Linked DNA regions of Mytilus edulis. The protein of the gene in region 1 purifies or fractionates together with the protein of each later gene. This does not show direct contact. Links are inferred from orthologs where the notes say so. Each region holds a gene or a part of one and is shown on either strand. Other genes may lie near its edges.

Evidence for each region. The genes of interacting proteins can lie anywhere in the genome.
Region 2: the proteins of proton-coupled zinc antiporter SLC30A1-like (region 1) and xyloside xylosyltransferase 1-like purify together in Homo sapiens (co-immunoprecipitation; 3 studies listed by BioGRID and IntAct, with this or other methods). This does not show direct contact. The link is inferred for Mytilus edulis from reciprocal best matches to the Homo sapiens genes SLC30A1 and XXYLT1.

What each region holds. Positions count from the first base shown.
Region 1 is NC_092350.1:45,663,306-45,670,439, forward strand, and holds the start of proton-coupled zinc antiporter SLC30A1-like, read right to left. Parts: upstream 3,011-7,134; 5' UTR 2,892-3,010; intron 2,843-2,891; 5' UTR 2,245-2,842; intron 1-2,244. UniProt on the Homo sapiens protein: Zinc ion:proton antiporter that could function at the plasma membrane mediating zinc efflux from cells against its electrochemical gradient protecting them from intracellular zinc accumulation and toxicity.
Region 2 is NC_092356.1:48,352,026-48,359,025, forward strand, and holds the start of xyloside xylosyltransferase 1-like, read right to left. Parts: upstream 3,105-7,000; 5' UTR 3,079-3,104; coding exon 2,656-3,078; intron 1-2,655. UniProt on the Homo sapiens protein: Alpha-1,3-xylosyltransferase, which elongates the O-linked xylose-glucose disaccharide attached to EGF-like repeats in the extracellular domain of target proteins by catalyzing the addition of the second xylose.

The sequences.
Region 1 (7,134 bases):
CGGGTGCATTAAATAATTGAAAATATATTTGAGGAAAATCATTTCATCATACATGTACATGTATGATGTAAAAATAGATGAATTGATATGGAAGTTTTTCTGCAGTAGCATAATCAGTGGTTCTCTGTGGGCGTTGCAGATTCATCCACCAACACAAACTGACCATGCTGACAAACACATATGTAGCCAATAGTCATGCTAGTACATGAACATGCTGAAAGTGGCCACCAACAACCAATCAATCAACACTATTATGGAAGTTTATCCTGGTATCATATCCATGATATCAGAGGGACATTCAAGAATCTTTGAATATTGATCATGTTTATGATTCTGGTTAAAATGTGCCATCATCACCATATTATACATTCAAATGACAGTATAAAAAGTTCCCATAGAAAACTGTTGGATATAGTATATATAATGCTATAGCTAAAGATATATTTCTGAATAAAAAACCTTGTAAATAAAATAAATCTTCAATTTAAAAGTTTAACAAAAATGCTTAAAAATTGTTCTTCTGTGACATAAGATTTATCATGTTTATTTTTATCATGTCATTTGAATGTATAATATGGTGATGATGGCACATTTTAACCAGAATCATAATCATGATAAATATTCAAAGATTCTTGAATGTCCCTCTGATATCTTTCGTGCCTCTTTTACAATTGTACATATAGTATTTTCTTTCAAAACTATGTTATGTGTATGTCAATTTTAACTTATATCATTTTTAATTACATCTCAGTATTAAGAACAGTTAATCAACTTTCAATACTATACTTCTTTTTTCCTAGACTTACAGCATGTACAGATTTTGCATCAAGGCAATTTACATTATTTGGATAGTCTAGCTACATGTACATAATCTAGAACAGAAATTTCCTATGGCTAAGGACAATTTTGATTAGCATAGTGTTGCTATTCATTATACATTTTATACACGATTATAAAAAAAATTACATGTACATATATATGTATATCATATTTTTGTACAATTGATAAGTCAAAAATGTATTAAAGTTTAAAAAAAAAGATCTAAAAAATTAGGTTAATTATGCACCCAGCCTCTCACAGATATTTAGGGTTCTATGTTGAAATACAAAATGTTTGCACCCAGCCTTTCCCATTTTAACAGGGTTCTGTGTGCAAATATGTTTTTAAAGGTACACCTGCCAAGCATGTACCTACATGACCTACTATGATGTAAGCTTTTAACAACCATGACTGGCTATACAGCCCTTACAAAATAAAAAAGAAGATACATGTATGGTATGATTGCCAATGAAACAACTGTCCACAAGCTAAGAGACCAAACTGACACAGACATTATATAATTAACAACTATAGGTCACTATTGTACTCCATGTACTCCAAATATCATATATATATATATGCCATGTATTGTAACCAGATAATGAACATGTAGCAATACGCATTTTAAACAATTAAACACAAAAGTACAAAAAATGTAGGAAGAATATGGATCATTGTGAAAACATAAAATGCAAAATTCATGATAATTATTCCTGTATTGTTATAAATATTTTACCCTGCAAGCTGACAACAATATAGAATGTATGCAAGATGCAACATACATGACATGTACTCAAATACTTTTCAATCACAGTATAAAGAGTATTGATCTGGTAATGACCAAGACATTTCTGCAAAACTTAAATTACATGTTATAACACATAACCTCAGACAGAATTACACGTGAAGACTCTACAAAAGTAATAAATATACATTTTAGAGACAAACAAAAATTACACAACATAATTTTTGTCTACTTTCAACAACTTTTCATGATCATTGTCCTTCATCTTAGGAACCTATAAGTTATAACAGATGAACAGTAAAATACAGGTCTCATCCAATATAGACTATATTAGACCGTTGGTTTTCCCGTTTGAATGGTTTTGCACTAGTAATTTTGGGGCCCATTATAGCTTGTTGTTCGTGTGAGCCAAGGCTCCGTGTTGAAGGCCATACACTGACTGTTGACCTGTAATGGTTTAATTTTTTAGATTGTTATTTGGATGGAGAGTTGTCTCATTGGCACTCACACCACATCTTCCTATATCTATTTGTTCAAGATTTGCTGAGAAAAATAGTTCCCTAAATTCATTTCAAAATATATACATTCTCGACTGTAGACGAGAGCAGCCTCAAAACCAAAACCGCAATGCATAATTTAGACAAGTTTGAAGATAAAGACATTAAATTTGGATAACTTACCGAATGGTTTCGAATTCAAAAATTTCCAGAGCTTAAAATCAAACCAGGATGTTCCAATTCTTCAATTCCTATTTTGCACAAAAACACCTTTCATGATGAATAAATTTTAAAATATGCACCCGGCCTTTTACATTTTCAAACGTTCAGTGTGCAAAATTTTCGTGGGTTGCTACGCCGGAACAGCAATTATGTGTTGAAATTCAATGAAGAAAACGTGTCCATTGCCTCACTGCCGTGTAATTTCTGTTAAAAAAATATTTAATCTCAGCTACCAATAACGCACAGATTAACGAAATACAATGTAAAACAGCTGACTTTTGCAAATTATTGATAAATTTTAGTATCTTTCTATCAAAGAAGATGTACAGGGGAGACAACTATTCAAAAGATAAGGCTTACTGTAAATTGTGAACGTGTCGCACGCATTAAATAATTCTTGATATCAATATAGAAAATGTTTGAAATACAAATTTGGAGAAGTCACCACTACACAAAATGTTCACTTCCCTCACAAAACAATAATCACGTTCTATAGCATTAAGTCCAAGTGTGAGACTGTCGGCATATTCAAACTATTGACCACCGGTGAGCACATGTCCTAGTTTAACCTCAAGAGTTTAACCTATTAAATGGTGTTAAGAGATAACATACACTTTATCTCCCTTGGCGACTGAAACTACTATAACATATTATATGTCATATGTCATAGCAGTTTTAGTTTGAGATGACGATGAACTAGCATGCAACCCTTGCACGATCGGTTACTTGGAGATTGACATAGCTTATATATATATATATATATATATAGCTATTAATAGACAATACTAGTTCATATAGACCTTGACCCTGACATAGAACATAGACATAGACGGCAGGTGGAAGATAGGTCCGCTGAGGTAGGACCTAAGGTATCAGGTGCCCTCGGGTATCGGGGGATTTGTCATCGATTGATTTACACGAAAATATAGTTCCCTATTTGGATCAATCTTAATACCAATTTAAATGTGACTTAATTCAAAAGAAATAAATACAATTCTTGGTTATATAATTATGCTGTAATAAACTTATTTCTTCGTTTTAAATGTAGGACTTCGTGGTCGTTGTATTGTTCGTGTTATGTATTTTTTTGTATGGTAAACTGAGTTTATTGGAGAGGAATTGGTTGTATTTTATGGTGTTTTTTGGCAGAACTCAGGTAACCTCCGTAATTTAAGAAAAGTACATACTATACTATGGTATATATTATGTTGTAGTAAACTAATTTCTTCATTCTAACTGGAGGACTTCATGGACATGATGAACATTGCATATTGTAATCCAGTGGTTTTCGTTTGTTTATGTGTTACATATTTGTTTTTCGCTCATTTTTTATATAAATAAGGCCGTTTGTTTTCTCGTTTGAATTGTTTTACATTGTATTATCGGGGCCTATTATAGCTGACTATGCGGCATGGGCTTTGCTCATTGTTGAAGGCCGTACGGTGACCTATAGTTGTTAATGTCTGTGTCATTTTGGTCTTTTGTGGATAGTTGTCTCATTGACAATTATACCACATCTTTTTATATTGCATAAATATACAGTTTATGTCATAATTTAAATGTGTTAAAGATAATTTCATATGATTATTCTGTGATAGATTAATTTCAAAAAAATCTTTATTTTAAACGTAGGACTTCGTGGGCATACTTTCATGACAGGGGTACCTTAGGTCACCACAAAAAAAAAACCACCAACATATTTAACCATTTAACTCAAGTTAACTCAGTTCACATTATGAAATGTATCACATGACAGTATGCGATGTCCATCATGTTGTTCTTCTTCTTCTTCTTCTTCTTCTTCTTCTTCTTCTTCTTCTTCTTCTTCTTCTTCTTCTTCTCTTCTTCTTCTTCTTCTTCTTCTTCTTCTTCTTCTTCTTCTTCTTCTTCTTCTTCTTCTTCTTCTTCTTCTTCTTCATCATCTTCTTCTTCTTCTTCTTCTTCTTCTTGTCACCGCATTATAGATATACTAGTTTTTTTAAATGCGTATTTTTTATAAATCAGTCTTTCATGACAAGGGTACCTGAGGTCACTTACCAAATACATGACATAAACTACTCAATTTCCATCATGTTAACGAATTCCTACATTTAGATTGAAGAAATTAGTTTATAATTATGTGACTTATATACGTTAGGATTATTTCTTTTATGTTTCCAAGTATCAGTGTAATTAGAAAGTAGAATAATGTATTTTTAGTTTATTTTATTTTTAGATCATATTATTACTACGCATAGGGGGCACTATTTGCACGATACCTTAAGTCCTACATAAGCGGACCTTTCTTCCACCTGCACATAGACATACAATATGTTACCATATGTCTCTGACCCTGATCACGAGATTTCCACACCAGTCTATATATTGACCTTTAAACTACCTGTCAAAAACTTATACAATTCCCGGTCAAATCCTGCGAAAATACGATTTTTATAAGAATCAGATTCTAATTAATTGAAACAGTAGATCTAAGTGTATAGGCCTGAAATGGTTATTCATGCATGCTCAGCGAGCATGACTACAAAAATTACAACCATAAAAATCGTGTGATGAAATGCAGCAAGTATTAAATTACATGGATAGCGTGTACATTGTTGTAATTTTTTATGCAAACAATATTACATAGCCGCGGCGCCTGTTCAAAATTAACGTAAAAAGCGATTTAGAACTAGTTCAGACAGAGTTCAAAAGGTTATCGGTGTTATTCGAGGTGTTATTATCATTTTTTTTAAATTGATCATTTTGTAGTTTAATCTTGTTAGTTTGGCGTTCGGTGGCAAACATGTCATGCATGTCAAGGACGACTATTAAACACTTCAGAAATAACATTATAAGCCTCAATTTCCATTTAGGTTTACCGTTATTCATAATACTAGCCTTTTGGTTACGTAGACAAATTCTTAATTTATTCTGGTATCAATCGTAACATACAATTCAAAAACTGTTAAATTTATATATTAAAGCAGAGACAAATATAAGAATAAGAATAAATTTATTTATTATTCCAATCAATGGCCCTTGATTGGCAGCATAACATGTACACATAAAACAATACATCATGATTTGTAACAGAAAAACATTTTTATATACTAAAATGAAACATTAAAAAATAGTTCAGACAGATGTTATTATCTTCATTCTATAAAAATCACATACATTTGATTCAAGGCAGGATCAGAACCATAAAATCATTACAATTATCATTGTTTTTACATACATTAATTAACATTTCGTCTAACATCTAGACATGTAATAATATAGCTCTCTAAATATTTAAGCACAGACAAATTTTCATTTAAGAATTGAACATGTTGAATGATTCTTTTTGTAACTTCATTGGGGTGTAAAAGCGTTGACCGAAGTACATTTTGTATGAAGCAGCGCTTCATTCTAAAAATGTGCGCACGGTCAATGCTTTTACAACCCTATGAAGTTACAAAAAGAAGCATTCAATACTTATAATTACATTTTTTTTAGCTATGATCATAAAAACACGAATTTTATATATATTTTTATTTTAATTCACCTCTGCACTTTATTGTGGGACCACGTGTTATCATGAATGAAAAGTTTTATTTAGTGATGCAATTGTTTAAGGAATAACATGTGATGTGCAGTTAGCCTATCAGAATAAAGTATTACAATGAAACATACATCTAATATAATTATTAGTAAGTAACCAAACAAATTTTGCTCATTTGAAAGATATATAAAATTAGGACAGATACAGTTTATCTCCTTGAAAATCTCCCTATCTTTTTTGTATATGTGTATGCTGGACAACTAGTTATAAAATGTTGTTCATCTTAAACCAGATTTCAGTAGAGTAGATTTCTTACAAATCCTTTGGTCTCTTTCTATATATAATTTTATACTGAGAAAATTTATGATAAAAGAGATGATTTTTCATTTCCTATAGTTAATTATCCATTTTTAGATGGTGACGTTCCATTGTCACCATCTTACGGTGTTTATATATCTCAACTTGTACGATTCGCTCGTGTATGTAACAATGTTTTAGATTCTAACGAGAGAAATTTATGTATTACTGAAAAATTATTACACCAGGGTTTTCGATATCACAAACTAGTCAAAACATTTACTAAATTTTATCATCGGTATAAGGACATCATTCGTAAATATAGCTCAACATGCAGACTTCTTATACGTTCAGGTAGTCACATCCAATTTTTTATGGAAATATTCTTTATAAAGCACAAAAATGTCAGTATTCACCTCAGAAACTAACAAAACCTTTAAATAGACTTATCAAGAAGGGATATAGTTACGATACTGTTGTCAGGTCACTAAAGATTGCTTATTTTGGCGTTAATATTGATTCACTTATAGGGTCTTTGCATCGGAACTAAACACATTTATTAAAAAAACAGTTGTTGGCATGACACGAGTTATGTTCTTCTCATATATGTTAGTGATGGTATGATACTAAACCCCTATCGGGAAGGATTGTGCCTGATATTCATATGATGAAATCATAATCTTTCAATCAGTTTAATTGAAGTCTGGAGCTGGCATGTCAGTTAACTGCTAGTAGTCTGTTGTTATTTATGTATTATTGTCATTTTGTTTATTTTCTTTGGTTACATCTTCTGACATCAGACTCGGACTTCTCTTGAATTGAATTTTAAATGTGCGTATTGTTATGCATTTACTTTTCTACATTGGCTAGAGGTATAGGGGGAGGGTTGAGATCTCATAAACATGTTTAACCCCGCCGCATTTTTGCGCCTGTCCCAAGTCAGGAGCCTCTGGCCTTTGTTAGTCTTGTATTTTTTTAATTTAAGTTTCTTGTGTACAATTCGGAAATTAGTATGGCGTTCATTATCACTG
Region 2 (7,000 bases), on another chromosome or scaffold:
GAAAATCGTGCACAGAGGACTGAGTTTATGATATATACATGCATTGGTAAAAGAATTGGATAAACATTTTTTTTCGCCACTCACTCATTTCAAATGACTTTAAAATCAGTGGCGGATCCAGGGGGGGGGGGTTCCGGGGGTGCGCACCCCCCCTTTATTTTGGCCGATCAATGCATTTGAATCGGGACATATGTTTTGCAACTTTGCACCCCCCCTTTGCCCTGGGCTAGCACCCCCCCTTTCGAAAATTCCTGCATCCGCCACTGAAAATAAATGCCCAAATTTCATGAAAATTTAAGTTGATCAGATTTTTTTTATCCTTTCATCTGCAGCTTTAGATCTGACTTTTGGTTGACTGACTTTTCATAATAAGGCTACAGATATCTTGTTTTCACAAAAGTTAGAGATTTTACCTACTTGTTAAGAGACATTTTTCAATGAACGATTTTGAATTTGAAAAATATTGTGAGGCTCCCAACAATATCTGGAGATATTGAATACAAGAACTATAAGGGGCATAATTTCCAAAGCTTCAAAAAAGAGGGCATAGGGACAACATTGACAAGGGATAATCAAAAATAATATGCAATATACTTTTTTTGGCATGTTCAAAGAAAGTTTTAGCCCTTATGGTATCATTCTAATATAGCTTTGAGTTCAATTTGTATTGCATTCTTATTTTCAGTAATAGATAATATTTTACCAGCACATATATAAGCAAAAAGCTAAAACAGGGGGAATAACTCCAAAATTAATTCCCTACAGTTTGAAAAACACAGATTTATTTATGACCTATATGGCTGAGATAATAGACGTTAATTAACGGGTTGTTTCACACCAAAGATGTCAATTGAACCCAGTGAGTTTTCCACTGAATTTGCTTGTAATAATCACTTTGATTTGAATGACACAAAGGTCAATTAGGGAATGACATCAATTGTATAACATTGAAAAGTTCACTGAAAAGATTTTTGAATCTAATTTTCGAAAAAAAAAGAAGATTTAAATTATTAACAGGAGGGACAAAATTGGGAGATTTTGACTCCCCCAAGAAGAATCACATGTGTGGGACTTGTCAACAGGTAAGGTTTATGCTTGACAAGCCACGATGGGTATATGCATTGTGATCAGGCTTTTCCATCAACAAATTAATCCCGACCCAAGTTGATCTGGCTCTAAGCTGATCCAGGTCAATATATACTGGATGCACTTTTAATAAAATACCATGTATAAAAGTGGAAAACAAACATTTCTCAATTTTTTATTTTTTTTTAACCTAAAAATATGAATGTTTGAGTGAAACAGCTTGAGATCAGCTTGCATTTTTGTGTACTGGTATTATAATAATTGGACATAAAAATTGATGGACCCGAAAGGTTTGATTTATATTATTTCACAATTTGGGTTTACCAAATTTTAACGTGTTTGATAATTCATACTTTTGGAAGTGAAGTATCTTTGAAAATCAGGGAAGCAATTTTGAAATCAAAGTTCATCTTTGCACACCTCAAAGTGAATTGTATCTTACTTTATCTTACATCTTTCTTACATGTATATCATATACATGTAGTATATATGCAAAATAATTTTAACTTTTATTTAGTGGATGCCAGCATGCAGGCCTTAATAATTTCCAAACTGTTCATTGAGTCTGTACACAGATGCAGGATGTAGGGATTTATTTTTTTTAATGTTTGGGACCTCAGGATTTCAGGATCAGGACCCCTCCAACCCCCTTCTAAAGAGGAGCAGATTCTTGACTTGGGTCAACCAAGGATTTGTATCTATAGTAAAACTATGTAAAAGTTATTTAATATTTTGGAATAAACTGAAGTATCAAACAATTGACTCCGAAAAAGGGAAGCTTGGTACTTATTTTTCTATAAAAAATTGTTTTAAAAAGGAAAAATATTTAGAATTACAGGACTTCAAAAAAAGACAGTCAATTTGTAAATTAAGAATAAGCGCTCACTCCATAAAAATTGAGACAGACAGATATTAAAAAAAACATATAGAAAGATTTGAGCGTCTATGTTCTAATTGCTCCCTTGGTAAAGTTGAAGATGAGCTTAATTTTTTATTAGAAAGCCCTCTTTATGATATTCAAAGGGACAATTTTTTTCAAGACATTTCTAACAATTGTTATAACTTTATAAATTTAAATAAATCTTCTAAATTTTTATGGCTCTTGACCCAAGAAAATGTTACTCTTGAAAAACTTGGCTGTTATATTTTTGACTGTTTTGAATTAAGGAGATCAGGAATGAACACTGACACTAAGTCAAGTAAATAATTTGAGAAAAAATACATATATATATACATGTATATAATGTAATTTTATCATTCTTTTATTCACAATATATATGTGGTTTTTAGCTTCATTCTGACCAATGCTTATATTCCAAATATATATGTATATGCAAACTATTATTGTTGTTGGTGTCAATTATATAAATTAATTGTATCTGATTTTATGCCCTTTATGGGCCCTGTAATTAGGGAAATAAAAATATTCTATTCTATTCTATAATTCTATAGTATACTATACAAATCCTTGGGTCAACCAATGCAGGTTTCCAAATAGCAATAAGGTCTATTGTGTTGTTCAACTGTATGCATAATTAAAATAAATATGCTTATTGATTATAATATTACCTTGTATTGTTTATTGTATTTACTGACAGCTTGTTTTAAGATTGCATCTGCGATGACCTGACTAGCTTGGTCACCAATTATGTAAATGTTGACAGGCGTAGTTGTCCATTTAAACATTGACAAAACAGTTGTTTGGAACTTTTGTTGTAGATTTGTGTTGTCTTTGGCATTTGTAAATGTAATTACAACGTTAATTTCATGTACTGGTTCATTTTTCTGGGCCTTAGCAGTGACCTGCGGTTCGTTTTCCAAAATAACTTTCACATTGCCCACTCCTTTCCCTAAAGGCACAGGGTCTGCTTGTGGTATTTTTGAGTCAATGTGATTAAAAAAAGATGTTGTCAAAAGAATTTGGTAGCAAATAATAATTATAACACATGTAATAAGGAAAGCAAGTATCTTCAGAACACCAGATGATCTCATATTCGGTATTCAGATGCATCGTTTGCATAGTTATCGTCAAAAATATGTATACAATCCCGGGAAGGTCTTAAAAAAAGAAAATGTAAAATTGACATATATTTTAAGTAATTTCTAAGTAACGGTTGTTCAAAAAATAAAAAATTAAAACGAATTATGAAAGCTTGTGAATTGTATTGAACTATTTTGATTTTGAAATGTGCTTATATCAGAAAGTGGTCTGGAAGCCGGTCAAATTACCCAATCTCCCATACAGACAGAGTTATCGTCCTTTCCCTGCCAATCGCAGCTGACTAAAGTTCTCGTCAATTTATTTCCCTGAGAAACAATTTCCCCGGGAAACAAAGTAATTTTTAAAACACCGGTATCCAATGGAATCACAGCTGAAAATTTCATTCATGCCAGCGAAACACTTTTAGAATATCTTCAACTTTTAATTAACACAAGTTTTGAACACTGTTACATACCAAATTTACTTAAAATTGGAACTCTTTTTCCTGTTTTCAAAAACAAAGGTGACATAAAGAATGCTAAAAATTACCGTGGGATCACTATAACACCAACCTACTCGAAGATCATAGAAATTATAATTAAAGGAAGGGAAAATAATAAGATTTTGAAACATCAAAACCCACTGCAAAAAGGTTTCACAGCAAAATCCACTCCATTGCTTTGTGAACTATTCATTGAGAAATTCGAAAGAGAAAATAAAGATCTCAAGTTACCAACCTATGTTGCATTACTGGATGGAAAATCTGCTTTTGATGTTGTAATTCATAAAAACCTGATACGACGTCTTTTTCAAATTGGATTCTCACAGCAATCTATTTTACTGATCAGCAATTTATATGAAAATGCAACTTCCTGTGTAAAATTGGGCAATACAATGTCAAATCGATTGTTTAATATTGAGCAAGGTGTAAGACAGGGTGTATCAACCCCCTACTGCATATTCTGAGCAATTCTGGATTGGGAGCTAAAATTGGGAATATGAACTGTTGTGCGCCAACTTGTGCTGACGATATTGCCTTGATATCCAGCAAATTAATCCCTTTGAACTCCAAAATATGATAAATTTAGCAGTTGATTTCAGCCAAAGAGAGGGATATCTACTACAGCCTCAAAAAAGTGTAGTCTAACCAATCAAAACATGTAATAAAATGCTAGATGTTGAACAAGGTTTTTGGAAACTTAAAAATATAGATATGCCCATTGTTCAAGACTCCTCTCATATTGGTATAAAAAAATCTCAAAAAGACTCTACTAATACAACCATCACTGAAAATATAAAAAAGGCCAGAAGATCTATGTACAGTCTTATGGGTGCTGGATTACATGGGGAAAATTGATTAGACCCTGAAACAATAGTCTCCTTATTTAGAACTTACATCTTACCAGTTTTGACCTATGGTCTAGAAGTTTTAATACCAACAGGCAAAAATTTAGATCTTATACAACAGCAACATAAAAGGTGGATTAAACAGATTTTATCTCTCAAACTAAATGTGGCTGACCCGACTGTCTATCTATATACTATCAGGCTTGCTCCCACTTGAAGCAGATCCATATTAAAATTGTCACACTATATGGGAATATAACCAGATCTCAAAGATCGTCCTTAGAATGGAGAATAGCTGAACGACAACTACAAATTAAAACCTACTCAAGCAATAGCTGGTTTATTGATCTGAAAAAGATATGTGGCAAATATGACATCATAGAGATAGAACAGTATCTTGATAAGCCATTAACAAAAATGGAATGGAAGAGGTTTATAACCAAAAAGATTCACAAGTACTGGGAGGGTGCCATAAAGACCAGAATGAAGGGGTACTCAACTCTAAGATATCTTAAATGTGAATATGATATTGGCAGAATTCATCCTTTACTTAAAACAACAAGTGCAAATATAACGGAGATCAAGAAACTGTCCATCTGCACTAAATTAGTTACAGGAACCTACATACTACAATCTAATAAAGCGGAGTATTCAAATTATGCAACAAATCCGATGTGTAGACTCTGTAATAAAGCTGACGAAACCATTGAAAATTTTATCTTATTGTGTGAAACAACGTCACAAATAAGGTCATCCCTTATCGTCAAAATTCTACACGAAGGTAGTCTGGCCATAGCAAGAGAGAGCCTGCAAACTCCTATTGACTTAATAACATTAATTATTAACCCTTATCATTACCTACCGAAGAAGATGTGCAAGGATGTTGAAGATAGAGTCGCTAATCACTTGGTACCGCTATGTCGCCAACTGTTTACACTTCATTCCAAGCGCTATTATGTGTTGACAAAAACTGATACAAAAGCAAACAGAAAATGAAGAACTGTGAAATCATTTTAGTTGTAATATATACATGTCGGGGTACACATGGATCTCCCTCTTTTAGTAGCTTTAAAGTCTATTAAATTTTTTACGGATTGCATTTAAATAAACTTTCTTCTTTTTTTTAACAGACTGAGTGTTAAAAAAAAATATGTATATAATTGTACTTATTGTCATTTTTTTGTGTTTCCAGTGGAAACATTTTTGTGTGGTTCCAGGGGCAACATTTTGTTATGTTTTCAGGGGCAACATTTTGTTATGTTTCCAGGTTTGTCTAAAAAAAATTTACTACTTGTTGTCAATTTCCCCCCCTCCTGGTATGGGCTTATATTAGAAATTGTTCATGTTTCTAAGGAACACATTTCATTCTTTTTTCATGTGTTTGCAGGGAGAACACAATTTTTTTTAGTATTTCCAGAGTTGTCTAGTAATTATTTTATAACTACTTGTTAATTTATAATGTTAATTGTCGCCTAGTATTGGTTTCTCTTAATTAAGAAAGTTCTCAAGGGACACATTTAATTTTATTACTAATTATTTTTCCTCAATCTCCCATACAGACAGAGTATACAGAGTTATCGTCCTTTCCTCCTCAATGAGGAGGAAAGGACGATAACTCTGTCTGTATGGGTCGTCCCTTCTCAATGGAGAGGAAAGGACGATAACTCTGTCTGTATGGGAGATTGCAAATTACCGGTTACGTTTTTTTCCACTTTTAACCAAACATTTTCGAAAAAAACACAACTCTGTCAAAAATTTTGATATTTTCCCAGAAAATTTACTTTAGATTATATGGTTTGAAATAAATGTGCTTTACATGATTGAACATAGAAATGGAAAAAACGTAGTCGGAATTAATCGGCTTTTAACAAAGATAGAGAAATTTAATATTCACAGCCTCTTGAATTTCTACCCATAAATAATTTTATAAAATTTTTTATAGGCCTGGTATAATATTTTTTTGTGTTTTTTTCTATTGCAGTTAAAATTATTTACTTATCAATGGATATGTCTTTTATATATGTTTTTTAGAATGGCACTAGCTGTCAAATTTATGTTCACAGATTCGACTCCTTATATTTAATTAATAACAATGTAAAACATTTATCCAAATTATAAAAAAGTCTAAAATAAACAATTTACAGGGCTTTGGCTCCACATATGTATCTTTGTTTCGTGTGCATTTTAGTTTAGACACCATCTAATTTAAGACTATCGAGTTGACATCCGAAGACCTCCGATGGTCATATAAGCTATGTACACATACATATAGATATAAATAGATTAAGAACTCGTGTAACTTTGATTGATTTTTATAAGTCTGTGTAATTTGATATTATTGATTAAAATATATGCTACTCATCGTTTTTACCTGTATAAGAATGATTTTTTTTGTGGATCGAATCAGTCAATCAATTGATTTATGGCTTTTTTTCACTTCAATGTTTACATTCTTTTCCCTTAAATAACTTAATTGAAGTTCACATGGAGACGGATTCAATGAGGTCGAATTATTCATTTGCAAGTAAATAACTCATTATCAATGTTTCGGAGCTTATTTTAACAAAGTTAGTGGTTACTGAAAGC